Tribolium castaneum: one gene and its partners. The protein of the gene in region 3 binds, or shares a complex with, the protein of the main gene of each other region. Links are inferred from orthologs where the notes say so. Each region holds a gene or a part of one and is shown on either strand. Other genes may lie near its edges. The genes, in order: transmembrane protein 17, B9 domain-containing protein 1, transmembrane protein 231 and B9 domain-containing protein 2.

What was found.
Region 1: transmembrane protein 231 (region 3) and transmembrane protein 17 share a complex: the UniProt entries of both Homo sapiens proteins name them as parts of the tectonic-like complex. The link is inferred for Tribolium castaneum from reciprocal best matches to the Homo sapiens genes TMEM231 and TMEM17.
Region 2: transmembrane protein 231 (region 3) and B9 domain-containing protein 1 share a complex: the UniProt entries of both Homo sapiens proteins name them as parts of the tectonic-like complex. The link is inferred for Tribolium castaneum from reciprocal best matches to the Homo sapiens genes TMEM231 and B9D1.
Region 4: transmembrane protein 231 (region 3) and B9 domain-containing protein 2 share a complex: the UniProt entries of both Homo sapiens proteins name them as parts of the tectonic-like complex. The link is inferred for Tribolium castaneum from reciprocal best matches to the Homo sapiens genes TMEM231 and B9D2.

Annotation. Positions count from the first base shown.
Region 1 is NC_087395.1:14,181,595-14,184,635, reverse strand, and holds transmembrane protein 17, read right to left. Parts: upstream 1,383-3,041; 5' UTR 1,331-1,382; coding exon 1,249-1,330; intron 1,205-1,248; coding exon 1,101-1,204; intron 1,051-1,100; coding exon 937-1,050; intron 826-936; coding exon 553-825; 3' UTR 546-552; downstream 1-545. Other genes in the region: glycolipid transfer protein, read left to right, coding at 1-59, 104-254, 305-487; ankyrin repeat domain-containing protein 27, read left to right, coding at 1,753-1,775, 1,960-2,154, 2,208-2,373, 2,421-2,550, 2,610-2,760, 2,809-3,040. UniProt on the Homo sapiens protein: Transmembrane component of the tectonic-like complex, a complex localized at the transition zone of primary cilia and acting as a barrier that prevents diffusion of transmembrane proteins between the cilia and plasma membranes.
Region 2 is NC_087399.1:9,020,650-9,023,651, forward strand, and holds B9 domain-containing protein 1, read right to left. Parts: upstream 1,488-3,002; 5' UTR 1,332-1,487; coding exon 1,094-1,331; intron 1,048-1,093; coding exon 838-1,047; intron 788-837; coding exon 687-787; 3' UTR 645-686; downstream 1-644. UniProt on the Homo sapiens protein: Component of the tectonic-like complex, a complex localized at the transition zone of primary cilia and acting as a barrier that prevents diffusion of transmembrane proteins between the cilia and plasma membranes.
Region 3 is NC_087398.1:6,906,436-6,909,901, forward strand, and holds transmembrane protein 231, read right to left. Parts: upstream 2,114-3,466; 5' UTR 2,031-2,113; coding exon 1,883-2,030; intron 1,833-1,882; coding exon 1,663-1,832; intron 1,613-1,662; coding exon 1,484-1,612; intron 1,432-1,483; coding exon 1,206-1,431; intron 1,159-1,205; coding exon 899-1,158; 3' UTR 867-898; downstream 1-866. Other genes in the region: mitochondrial import inner membrane translocase subunit Tim21, read left to right, coding at 1-4, 58-93, 762-866. UniProt on the Homo sapiens protein: Transmembrane component of the tectonic-like complex, a complex localized at the transition zone of primary cilia and acting as a barrier that prevents diffusion of transmembrane proteins between the cilia and plasma membranes.
Region 4 is NC_087394.1:33,824,883-33,829,204, reverse strand, and holds the start of B9 domain-containing protein 2, read right to left. Parts: upstream 2,841-4,322; 5' UTR 2,602-2,840; coding exon 2,514-2,601; intron 2,366-2,513; coding exon 2,240-2,365; intron 2,187-2,239; coding exon 1,904-2,186; intron 1,858-1,903; coding exon 1,824-1,857; 3' UTR 1,499-1,823; intron 1,448-1,498; 3' UTR 1,217-1,447; intron 1,163-1,216; 3' UTR 1,009-1,162; intron 956-1,008; 3' UTR 756-955; intron 708-755; 3' UTR 1-707. Other genes in the region: serine/threonine-protein kinase VRK1, read left to right, coding at 3,391-3,685, 3,734-4,204, 4,255-4,322. UniProt on the Homo sapiens protein: Component of the tectonic-like complex, a complex localized at the transition zone of primary cilia and acting as a barrier that prevents diffusion of transmembrane proteins between the cilia and plasma membranes.

The DNA of each region.
Region 1 (3,041 bases), on a different chromosome or scaffold from region 3:
CTTAAACAAAAAAATGTGGGCCAACTGCTTGTTGTGGACGCTTTGCAGTGGCTGCGGCGGTAAAAAGCCCCTTTTTGGGAGACTTATGCATAAATCGTTTCAGAGCCCTTCATTTCATTTCGCGCTTCTTCCAGTCTGTGATCGATGACTCCGACAATAATAATAACACGCAGGATTTGTCCATATTTGTGAAAAACGCGTACAAGGAGACTCTGGAGCGGTACCACGGCTGGTTGGGGTCTCAGTTGTTTAATGTACTTTCGTCATTTTTTCAAAAATTGTGGCTTATCCCAACAAGTTGTAGATTTTGTCACGGTTTACCCCAAACCGGCAACAGCTTTTCTACCAACTCGCGCTCGAGAAGCACCACAAGGAGGACCACGTTTTGCGTGATATGAGACAGTTCACGCTCAGGATGTCCTCATGTGTTCAGAAGCTGGTGGATTTCTACCAAGAGCATGATCTCGAGACGAATGATAGGGTCTAGTTGTTGTACTTAGAAATTTTATATTTGTTGATCTTCCAGTTGTAAATAAAACGTTTGGTATAGATTCATTTTTTATTCACTCGGTAGCGTTCTTGTACATCTGCAAGCGTCACATCTGATCTTAATTTCATAATGCGAAAGTAAATTGCTTGTTGCGCTGCCGTAAATTTCAAAGCACAATAGCTTGACACCAACTGAATGCATAACATCACGAACATGATACTTTGCACTATTATTTCTATAACATGCAATTTGAAGTTAGGATTGAATAACAGAAGACCTTGTAGAGGAAACTGGAGCAGTAAGGACAACATCCAAAAGCCCGCCAGTTCAGGAATCTACAATCTTATTTATTTAAATCGTCCGCAAAGTGGCCGTGATATTCAACAAACTGTGCACATGTGTAATATTGGTTGCATCTGCCGACTCAATTATTATCATTAACTTACTTTATCCTCAAGATTTCCCTTGTACCCTAAATAGAGTCTTAACATTTCCAAAAGGAAAACTGTCGAAATGACCGTTATGATAATAAACTTGTACAGTTCGCTAAAGCAGAGATACTGGAATTGGTATTTCGAGTCATTTAGTAGTTTTTCGTAGTTAGTCTTACTGTATTCCTTAAATAAAGCACAAGAATGGCCATCCAAAATGGCGCGAAAATCACGTTGAAATAGAGCGACATCTGCAGCGGCAAATTTGACATAACTTCGTTACCTAAAAAGCCTTAAGGAATCGTAATTAACCAGGCATGTTTTTACCATAAACAACATTATCGATTTTACGCGAAAGGCCTGGAAACACTTTATCAGACACTGACGTCACAGTTTCCTTCCAATCCATAATGAATATTTTGAGCAAACAACAAGGTCAAGATTATTTTTAATGTTCTGATTGTTAACAGATTGTTGGACATTTATGTCCTGAAATTGATAATCTGGTTTTGTTTGTATTAACTTGGGGTTGAGTTGCTTGGAAACCGTAATCAAATCCCCCACATTTGCTGGTATTGACCACTGCAGGTGTTTATTTTTGCATTTTTTTTAACTTTATTCTTTCTGTCCGATTGATGTTATTCTCATAAGTTTTAAGCTAACAAAAAAATGATCACAGATATGTATCGGAGGAAAATCTTCAAACAATAACAAGTGGTTATCCGAAAAGTTATCAGATAAAATGTTATTACGTAAGCAACGAAGGTCGTTCATTATTGTTGAGTACACATACCTAAAACAATGTGATACAAGCTACCAGAAATAATAAATATGGAAATACGAGACTTAAAACAGTGAGTATTTTTAATTTTAGCACCACTTACCTTTCGTATTTATTACCTTTAATCTTTTTTGAATTGTTTCATTTATTAGCTACTAGTTTACAATTTAAACAAAGTTTTATATTATCACAAATAAAAAATAGCATGGTCATTGTTGAGTCACTGGACTGAAAACTTATTGCTAAAATAATTTTAGAGCTGAAGAACTGCTTGTGAAATCAACACACGAAAACATTTTTGACTACATTGATGAAGAAATAGTTTCGTGGGATTTACCCAACCATGGGGATTATCCAGATCTGGTACCAAAAATAACTGACTTGGTTTACAAATTATACACAGAAATATTCCCGGAACAAAACAATCCCAGGAACTTTGCGGCCTTCCAGTGGTAATAATTTATAGGCAATTTGTTGTACTTGTTCTTTCATTGGTGATTTCAAGGATTATTTTTGATAAAATCCACGATTTGGTCGTGCCATGCATTAAAGCGAATTTGTTCCGAGAAGATGAAAATTTCTTCGAACGGTGCTCATTTTTGTGCAAAATTAACGTCTCGGCAAGGGAATTTGGCGCTGATGATAATTATAGTATCCCGTTATGTGCTGCCGTAATTGAAAATATTTTTTTAACTGATGCGTGTAATGTTTTTTTTAGGTTGTGGAATTGTCGGTTATAGACAAATATAAAAGTCCCAACGAGAAAATGAACTGTTTGTGCAGTACGTACGATTTAGTATTTGCGGAAATAAAGACAGCGATGGTTTCAGTAATTTCAGAAAGGTCAGGTAAGTTGCATCTTGATTTATTGTATGTACTAGGTTTTTTTAATTGTTAATAATTACAGATAAGGAAATTGAAATTCCCATTATTGACAACAAGGACATAATGCCTGTGCTTATGGTGGTAATTCTTAGGTCGAAATTACGCTACATGTTGAGCAATTTATTTTATATTAAAACTTTTTATTTAAAGATAGAAGAAAATCGAGAAATTTTGTAAGTGTTAGGCGTCTTTTTTATGAACTAAATTGACTGATATTTTAGTGATATATTTAAATCGTTTGAAACTGCTGTTGATAGATTAATGCAGTTGGATGTTGATATTATGAAGCCTATGAAAGGACTTTTTCAAAACAGTTTAGATTTGGAGGAATACATGAAAATTACGTCCAGCCCTGGAGAAGAAAAAATAGAAAAGGCAACTTTAATCGATGAAGCAAATCAACGAGTTTTGAATTTAATAACACGGTCTACAGGCGAAGATCAACTTTTTTAAT
Region 2 (3,002 bases), on a different chromosome or scaffold from region 3:
ATAGAGAATATACAAGGTGGATAAAGAAAGAAATATACTTACCAATGCTTATTGGATGTCGTAAAGAACAGAAAACAGAATATAGAAAATAAAGATAATATAAAAGAGAGAAAGGACAAGCTAAACTGAAAAAGAGGTACAGAAAACTGATATAATTAAAAAATAGCAGACTATACAAGACAGGAGGTAGAAAATTGATTAAATCAGTAAAAAAACAAAAGGAAGAAGGAAATAAAGGTTAAAAAAGACAAGTGAAAGAGAAAGGTAGATAAAGAATAGAAAAATATACATGCGACGTTGGATACAATAATAATGTTAATAAAAAAAATATTGAAGCATTCTTTTGTTGACTTAATGTCGTTTTAGTTTATTTGAATTGTAATTTTTTTTCTTTTGTTTTGCTGTTTATTAATATAAAAAATAAACTTAGTATCTCGGCCAACTTTTTGAAAAACATAATTATATTTTTGGTGTTCTATAGTTGGTCACCTTATGTAAGCATTACAATCGCATGACATAGGAATTCAAGTTCATGGATAACTCGATTATAAATTAATTTGATCGCTTGATGACAGAAAACCAATTGAAACCGAATATTTATATTAAATTAAATTATAAACCATTCCTTCATTAATCAAGTAAGCTGTGCGTAAAAAAATATTTATTGACCCAAATCGTTACAAAAATTAGTCTTTTCCTCTCCCGAAATCATATCCAAGACTCCTCACACCTTGCATTACGACATTCACCGAAATCCTCACTTCTCCATGACTCAACATCTGAATTACTGAAACCAAAACTAGAACTAGAAATCTTTGCGTGTTGTGACAAACATACAGTGATTTCCGGCAGTAGTTGCCAACATTTTCGGTTGCAACAACTCGGGCTGGTACCCGAAAAACGCCCCCATGTACCCCAACAACGAGCTGGCTTGGGGCTTCCCCAAAGCCACGTCCACCCGGTGCATCCCCGGCCTCAGCGGCATGTGCGCCCGCCCGTACCCCTCCAGCTGCACCCCCCGGTACACACTAACCACAATTTGGGGCCCTGCAACCACAATTGAACGCCTCAAAATGCAAAATTTCGAACTCACATCCGTAAAGATTCGTCGATTTGAAATTAATCTCAATCGGAAGGTTGAACACTACTAAAGCTCCGTTCACGACAACGTTGGAGGTTTGGGACACGCCGGCCTCGAGCCCCCCGATTATTTTCCAGTCCGGGCCTGTCACAAACTCGTACTTGCAGTGCCACGCGGAGCCCGAGGGGGCTAAAATGTCGACAGACTCAATCTGGCCCGTTAAAGACACCAGAAAGGTGCCGTCGGACATCGTGGGGGCTGTTTGTATTGTGGTTGCTATGGTAACTTATGTCATCTATATCATCAAAGAAAATGGAAAATTGGGTTTTGGCAAATGTTTTCTAACTCGAAGCAGTAAATAAATGCTAAATTTTGAAAATATTACTAGGACCAGGATAACAGGAACGCAAAGAGGTCTTTAGAAATTTCGAACCACAAAATTACAGAAACCTGTAAGGTTTGGAGCGCCATCAGGTGGAATTTTTGTAGTATAAAATTTGAATTACTTTTTGCGTTTCTGTGATCCTGGTACCAAGAGAAATTTCAAAATTTGCCAGAATTTTTAACTCGGAATGTTTGAAACACCTGACAACTCCAAATTTTAGCAAAATTTTATACCTCTTAAAGCCGGACACCTCTTCGTGTTCCTGTGATCCTAATACCACTCCTAATACTTTCCAAATTTTACCAAAAATAGTCAAAATTATCAAAAGTATCAGGGACGCAGGGAGGTATTTGAATGTAATAAGTAAGTTTTAAGCGCCATCTGGTGGGATTTTTAATGTAAAATAAAACACAAGTTCTGAAAATGGATATTTACTTACATAACTTCACTATAGATACAGTTCATAACGTAAAATAATTCTAGACAGTAAAAATAAATAATGCGGTACAATTTTTACATGTGGATGCGGTAATGTACAAAATAATGAAGCGTAACTTAGAAGAGAAGTCGAAAGAAGGCAAGGCCTGTGTCGATGTACGTGAAAAACCGTAACTTAAAAATAAGTTTTTTGATAAAGATACATTGACATTTATCGTAAAGTTACATGAAATATTAAATGAGACATGCATTCGAACTTCCAGTCTTATTCCAAGCATCAAATCATGAATCTTTGGCAGTTATTCCTTTATCAATACGATGAATATAATAATAATGTACAAAAAATTGAAACACGAACGAAGCGACGAGTGCCTCAAAGCCACCCATCACCTCACGTCCGGCTTGTAAAAACAGCTGTTTGATTATAAAAACTGTGTACAATCGAAGCTGTTTTGGTAAAAATTATTATCCCTAGAAAAATCTAAATTTAGACAGCTATTTTACCATTACATAAGTTTCACATTAATATGTAAAATATTTTTAATTACGTAAATTTGTTCTAACATTAAACTGACTTATTGTGACATTGTACTTAGCACCACCGAAATGGCAGTATCACTAAACCGACTATCCTGACACGGAACGCATGAGCAAATTTAGTGTGCTTTCAGAATAAGTTTTGTTCCCATTTGGTTGGTATCATGTGCGGGAAAATGTCACTGCAGCCACAATCGACGCACCCGCCTCAAAAACCACAACCACTGACAACAACTCAACACGCCCTCTAGCTGTGACTTCTATCATTAAAATATTTTATTTTGTCACGTTTTTTCAAAAATTATTTTAAGTAAATGTGTTTTTTAACCATGAAGAGTGGTTTGTTTTTCAGTTTGGAACACCCTGTGTCGTAAAAGTCAGGTTTGAAGTTATGTCAACAATTTTTAAATGTAAAAATAAAACAGGGAAAATGCAATTAAACACTATAGAGTTAAACAGGAAAAATAAGATTTAACTAGTGTTATTTTATTACGTCTGCTCTCTAGTGTAAATCGGACTTTAAACAAGTTTGCTGGTATTAATAACATTTAGGGAGTGGAC
Region 3 (3,466 bases):
GGAGGTGCGTTTTGCAATTGTAAGCCATCCTGTCAGTTTTTTATTACTTTTTTTTAGAATGATTCGGGGAAATATGAATATCGGTACTTATTTGTTCAAGTGCACAGAATAACAGGTTTTACAGAAACGCATCTGTCCTTGTCCGGATAGAGCGAAAGTGTCACTAGCACATCTATTGTTGCCAGCGCGTACTAAGCGTTATCGGCGGGCGATTTGAATTGCCCGTAGTTACTTTTCTTTTAAAGTTTGATTGCATTTTTCGTATTGTTTGTAAATATTCACAACAATAGTTGCTAATAACACTTTCTGATGTTAGACAACTATTGTTGCTGAATATTTACAAAGAATACGAAAAATAAAATATGAGAATAAATAAAGACAATAAACTTGTAATAAAAATTTATTATCACTAGTCAATATACACGATACGATAACTATAAACTAATGATTGATCCATCAAATTATTTATATTCCCACAATAAAAAAGTTCAAAAAAGCACACACACGAAAAAAACCACAAAACAGTACTAATTTCACATAAAACAAAGCCGAGGGCGAACACCAAACAAACCAAGCACAAAATGGCGATTTACACAATGGCAACTGTCACAGGTCCACTGTTAATTTCTGCCGATATTATAGGTAGCTTCGCTAAAATTGACTATACGTGTGTGCGACATCTGCGATAGCAAGCCGAACTACAGTCGATTTTGAATTTGGCGCCTATACTTGGCTTGGTGCATTTAGGTTTCACCACCCTGGTTCAAGTGGACGATCTCCTACAAACAGCAATTGTTCTGGAAGACAACAGGAACGCAGTTTCGTCTTCTAGTTCGTCTTCAGAGCCACTAGACTTGACGTTGTAAATAAAACGATGATAATAAAGTTTGTTAAATTTTTATTGTTTTTTCTTCACCGGATTTTCTTCAAAAAACAGTATTAATCTCCTGCTAAAAATATAGTGCTTTATTTTTGCAATTATCCATGAGATTATTATGTAAAGTGAGAGGTACTGGATCCAGGCCCACTTCAGTACTTGCCAAAAGCCCGGCTTGTAGTATATCCTGTCTTCTGGAAATTCTATATTTAAGTTTAATACGAAATTTTGAGTTTTTCCAGGAGAAAAACTTTTATAGACGTCTCTCAATGATGTGGATACTGAAAAAATATGTTAGTTATTGCTTTGTAGATTCTTTAACTTATACTGTTTCTCTTTGAAAAGTTTGTGATAATGGTATTTATGTCATAGTTATTTAAATCCCCATTATCCACAATCACAGGATAATTAAATAACGTATTGGTGTTTTTTCTGTGGCAAATTAAGGGGCTAGTTTGGGTCACAACCACATTAGCCACCAATGAATACTTCGATATATAAAATGGTAACAATTCTTGAAAAATAATGGCAGTCTGCATTTCAAGAGGACAAACCTATTGGAAAAAAACAGAAATATAGAAAAAAGAACACATTCGAATTTCTTACTTGTAATTTATAATTAAATGGAATGATTATGCAAAAAGACGTGAGGTGAGTATTAACTGGAAGATTAACTTGGAGAGACAAATCTAATTCTTCTGTTTTACCATCAAAATTTCTGTCAGTTTCACGAACCTAAAAGGCACAATATGTAAATTAATAGTTACAAAACTGAAAAAAAAAACCTTGATGACTGAACAAGTATCTAAAGGCCGCAATACATTATCAAAGTGGGGTAAATTACTACACGTTATAACAGACTTATTGTAATTATTCGTAGTAGCAACAAAAATGTATTCTCCTCGAAATTTTACATCCGGTTGTTCATAAAAAGTGTCTCTTTTTAACCACAAGCCTGAAAATTTGCTATCAGAACTATCTAATTTATTAAAATTAATTTCTTACCCTTGCTTTTGTATGCAAAAATAAATGGTAACACAAGCGATAAGACCCCAAAAATTAGGGCTAGCACCGATGCTTTTGATAGAAGAGTACTTTTATAAGAAATTTTTATATTCTTTGTAAAAACTTCTAAAACTACCATCATTAACATCACAAAAATTACGTCTTGTGGTTTTTGGTCGAATTTTTTATTTGTTTACCTGTCAACTTTGAATACAAACAATTAGGTTGTCATGACGACGACTGTGTGGGTAATTTGAAAATGCTAGGGCAATGACCGAACTGCCAAAAAAGGTAACGGAAACAAAAAAAACGGCCATTATGAGAATATTAAAAAAATCCTGATTTTGTTTAATTTTCTCTGTTTTCTTTAAAACGTGTAATTTCCTTAATTTTGTACATCGATTTCCTCTGCAGTTTATGTTATAAACAAATAAAAGTAACCTTTACGTTCATTTCTTTTTCTCTCAAAACAAAAAGTACGTTTACAATTTGGCGCCTTTACGTTCTTTTACATTTTTGCCGCATTATTTTTTTATTTCTCTCAGTTTTAAGCTCCGCTTTACTTTTATACGCCTATGTGTTCTCTCAATCTCTTATTTTTGTTTACGTGTTGTTTCCTTACCTTTTCTACACTTTTTTTCATAGAAAAATTGTTACACCTGATCCGGGTTCGAACCCCCGACCTCCCCCGTTGTAAGTGGTGCTTATACCACTGGGCCACGAGGCCCCAGGTACTGACCGTGTTTTGCAGATATTTTAACACAAATTTTTTAACTAAACCAACATTACAAACTATATAATTGCAATAATTCACGTAAAACGCAAATATTTTTAGTTCAAAAATCCGCAAATTTGCTCGAGAAAACATTTTCTTCTACTATTTTTTAATTTAATTCTTCAGATTTCATCAAAAGATACCGGGCAAATTGGTGGTTGATGAATGATGACTTGATGAGTAACGATATCTATATATTGGCAATGACATACTTAATTCTTGCGTTATTTGGTTTTTCCAGTTAAATACACTTGAAGAAGAAAAAATGTGTAATACTTGGTTTTCCAAGAAAATTAATTATTCGGTAGATATTAATCGTAAAACTAGGTCACAATTTTTCACCATTTATAAAATACTTTAACAATTTATATTCTTTATTTGGAAATGTATTTAAATAAAAAAAGATGGCAATAATTTAATACTACATGATTAATAAATACTATATCTAGTTTAATTTATTAAAATTATAGTGGAATTAGTTACGACATTTAATTAGCGCAGACTAATACAATTTATCAAAATTTTTATAATTCTTAGAACTTCTAATTAGTTGAATACAACAGTTGCTCTGATGTGACTTAAAACATATTTTTATCGTTAAAAAAAATTAAGATAACCTTTATATACTTAATAATGGTTAAATTGATTCAAATCTGTCTAAGAAACCATAACAAAATAAATGAAATTTGAACTACGAGTATAGTAAAGCAATTGAAAAGGTCAATTTTAATAATTATTATTTATTACAAAACAGTTATTTTAAGCTTTTCGAGTATAGATTACAACGTTTTTCTTATTCTAAAAGCGTC
Region 4 (4,322 bases), on a different chromosome or scaffold from region 3:
ATCACTCTATTACTTAATGTACCATTTGTTACTTTTAAGGCCCAGTATTTGAATACTGTGTTCTGTACGGCAATGCATACATTTTTCGCCGAGAGATTTTTGATCCAAATATAATCATTAATTTCGCATCTTAGATACATATTATAACCGAACTCAATCGGAGTATATTTGTGTTTACTTAGAACGCACACACCCTCTGAATTTACAAACGGCAAAACGAGGAAATTTTCGGTAAAATCCGAAGGATTTCGGTATAGCTGTAATTGTTGTTTGTAACTTGTTGCATTGCTAGTCGAGTTCGTATTATTTATAGGAACATTTATAGAAACGATATTTGCGATTAAGATTGGCTTGCCAACTAAATATCCCGGATTTCCACTAAGGTGCGATGAATAGTTCAAAGTATGGTTCCACCAAATAAAATTAACTTCAATCGTTTGGGAAAACTCCATTTCCTGGTGGTAATAAAAAGTGGCACTTTTCAGAATCAAGTAAAGTTCGACTTTTATCAAACCGTTGCTACCATTATGATAAAAATTGTATCTAACGTTTTGTACTAAATTAATACAAAACAGTTCGTTGTTTGCAATGTTAACTTTGCAGCTCGATTTTATTCTCGTGTCGTTTGGCGATATTTGGACGCAGTCTTCAAAGTCTTCGTTGCATATTTTTGGCCGAACATTTAGACAAACATCTTTTGTACAATTCTGGAAAGGAATAAGTCTGTTTGGTTTCCATAAAAGTATAGTACCTACCTTGAGAAAATTTTTGTGTTTAGACACATTTAGCAAACCAGGATTTGCAATTATTGTCATGTTTCTGAAAAATGTGTCGGCTTTTAGATAATAATTATCTGCGGATATGTTCGTATGACTACAGCTGCTCTTGACGTCAATTAAATATTTTATATCTTCTTTGACCACGCAACTAGTTACCACAAAACTCTTAAGAAATTCTACGATTGAAAAATGGTTATTTAGATTATTGATTTAAGATTTGGAGACTAACGTAAGTTTTCAATTGTGTTATTTCTTAAAATCAATAAAGGTTTTCCATAAGTATAGTTGAAATAATTGAATATTTGACTATCTTCATGTGTAGGCTTTGGCCAATTAAATTTATTTTGTCTCTCGAATTGAGCATCTTGTAATGACTTCAACGGCTGGAATTAAAGTTGTAAAATTATTTTTATGATTTTTTTAAGACTTTATCTTACTTGCTTTCTTTGGACTATGTAACTTGCTGGTAAATTACTACGCACAATACAAAATAGTCCGTTTTGGTTAATTTGAAACTCATGAGGTGTCTTATTAACGTAAATATGTTTTACGTATTGGCAATATCTAGTATCATATTGACGGAAATCTTCTTCACAATGATCAAACACAAGTTTATTTTCTAAGGAACAGTCTTTGTCGCAACAGCAATTCAGATCACAGTAGTCGATCTAAAATCATGCGTAAAAATATAATTTATTAGGGAACATATAGATACTTACAGTTAAATCACAAATACACAAATTCTTGCTTGATCGTTCCGATGTTTTTATATGAAAATGAAAAAAGCTCGCGGGAGTCGGGGTTGTGACTAAAGCCGTTGTTTGTTGAGTTGGAGGAACAGTTACTGAATTATTAGTTGAATTTGCAAAACAAGAACTGTTGGCTTTGCAAGTAGTTGTTGGAACAGCGGTTGTGGACACAATTGGTGACGTTGTGCCCTTTTTAACATTTGTTTCACTTGACTGGGTTGTGGTCACATTTTCTAAACTTGTGCTTTTTAACAAAACGCACAGTATTAAAACAGTCGGTAAATTGTTAAGTAGTTTACTCATATTCCACTCCATAATTGCTGAAATTTCTGAACAAGGACTCGTCATTATTACTGTTTTGTGCCTTATTATTACCTAAGTACAACACACAGTTCAAATGAAACAACTCCCATAGCCTCCGTAGAGAGTTTATAACGTTCCCCCGAAGAGAAGATCAAGTCTGGATTTTTTATTTGATACCCACCTCCCAGAAAATACTGCACAAAACGATCTTTTATTGTACCAAATGGTCTCCAAGTGTAGCAGTCCAAAATATGGGTCCCGGGAGTTGTAGGAACTGTTATGAAACCGTAACCGAAAATGTGACTCCGGCCTAGCCAATCTAAGTGATAAACTTGCAAATAAATCTTAGGCCAACCTAAAATTCGGACTCATTAAAAAAATAAACGACTTTTTTGAAAAATTATAAACCTTGAAGTCCAGCAGTGGCTAGGTGAATATCTATTGGATAAGACCACTTGCAAACTTTACCAAACTGAGGTGATGTTACTTGAGTTTGACCTTCCTTCTTCCCAGAAATAACTTTCCAGTTATTACCTTAAAATTTTATAATAATAAAAATAAACATGAACTGACTGACAGAGCAGTCGATTTTAGTCTTAAAACGATAGAAATACTTATCGAAAAGGCAAAATAAGCGTCTGTTTGATACAAAAATCAAGAAAAGAAGTCAAGAGAACCTCACCTACTTGGAGATACCATTTACAGAACAAATTCTGCTTTGGAAAATCTTTGGCTTCAGTTATTTGCCCAATTATGTGCACTTCTGCCATAAGGCCAGAATACCATCAAATGATAACTGTTTTCACAACAAACAAAACTGAAATAAAAGAACCACCTGAAGAAAATGCCAAACATAAAAACAATATTTTTGTTTACAATACTGTTTTCCGGTTGCCTAGCAACGATTTTCAAATATTTTAAGGGCGGGGGTCAGTTTTGTGTAGGAATAAAAAATAAGCCTCCCATGACTTGATACAACAAATTGGATTCTTTGCAATTATTGTTGTTATAGACAACAAAATGAGTGATTCATCAGTTGCCAACAAGGCTGTTGGTAGTCTTTTTCCCAAATTTAATTTTCTTTTCGCAAAAACCCGTTTTTTATTTAATGACTTGTGCGCAAAAGCAGTGAGAAATTGCAGTGCGCGTGCGCGCTATCGACAAATCAGGAGGCGTTTCAATTGAGCGAAACGTGAAGATGGCCGTGAAAATTGTCAGTGACGTTTCTTTCACCTTTTGATTTTTGGCAAAATAACAGTTTTTACCACTTTTCTAACTTGTTGTATGAAAAGTAAGTATTGTTTCTTATTGTTTACAACCGGGACGTGCCACTTGACCTTGCTGTTGTCGTTATGTAAATGATAAGGTTATTGGGGAAATGTCGTTTGATTTTGAAATCTTGTTGTTATTTACATAAAAAAAACGTTTCTTCTTGAAGGGTCCTCTGTTTGGGTAATCACATGAATTAGGCAGGGTAAGGTATCTCAAGTGAAACCGAGCGAAAATCTCAAGCCTCCATGTTGTAGATTGTTTATAGACTTCACACTTTCGTTAAAATAATGCCGAGACGTGCTAACAACAGTTCTTCGGAGAATGATCCCCCCAAAAAGAAGACTTGCAGCAACTCCTTTGATTTAAGACATGGGGAGTACCTAAAAGACATCACAGGGAAGCAGTGGAAATTGGGGAAACCTGTGGGTGTTGGGGGCTTTGGGGAGATCTACCTGGCCTCTGATGTCCTCACCAAAGAGGTCAAGACTGATTGTCAGTACGTGGCTAAGGTGGAAAGCCATAAAAACGGGCCGCTTTTTGTCGAAGTCAATTGTTACCTAAGGATTGCTAAACGCGAAATGAGTAAGTCAATAATTTGCGGAAAAATCGCATAATTGGAATCGTTTCTAGTTGAAGAGTGGAAGCGAGCAAAGAATATAAGTTCCCTCGGAATGCCCCACTATGTGGCGTCAGGTTCCCACGTCCACAAGGGTGAAAAGTATCGTTTCTTAATCCTCCCGAAATTTGACAGAGACTTGGAAAAAGTCCTCCAAGAGAAGAAAATCCTAAACCTTAAAACAGTGCTCACAATATCCCTCCAAATAATTGATGTTTTGGAATACATCCATAGTAAAGGCTACATGCACTCCGATATCAAGGCATCTAATATTCTTCTAAGTAACCAAAATAAGCCCAAACCAACCGTCTGTAAACGAGTGTCAAGCGGCTGCACACGAGTATCAAGCGGCTACACTTTCACCAGCCGTCTCCGTGCATGTCGCAAAAAACCAACCAGAATCACTAGAAACTTAAGGCCGAACGCTAAAGTCGCCTTTTATCTCGACGACATACCAAATTTTAATCAAATCTTCACTAATTGTGGTAATTGGTCGTAATGTGTGTTAATCATTAAACTAATCATTTTACTTCAGTGTATGAAAAACCAACAACAACACAGGACCAGATTTATCTCCTTGATTACGGTCTGGCGTCCAAATTT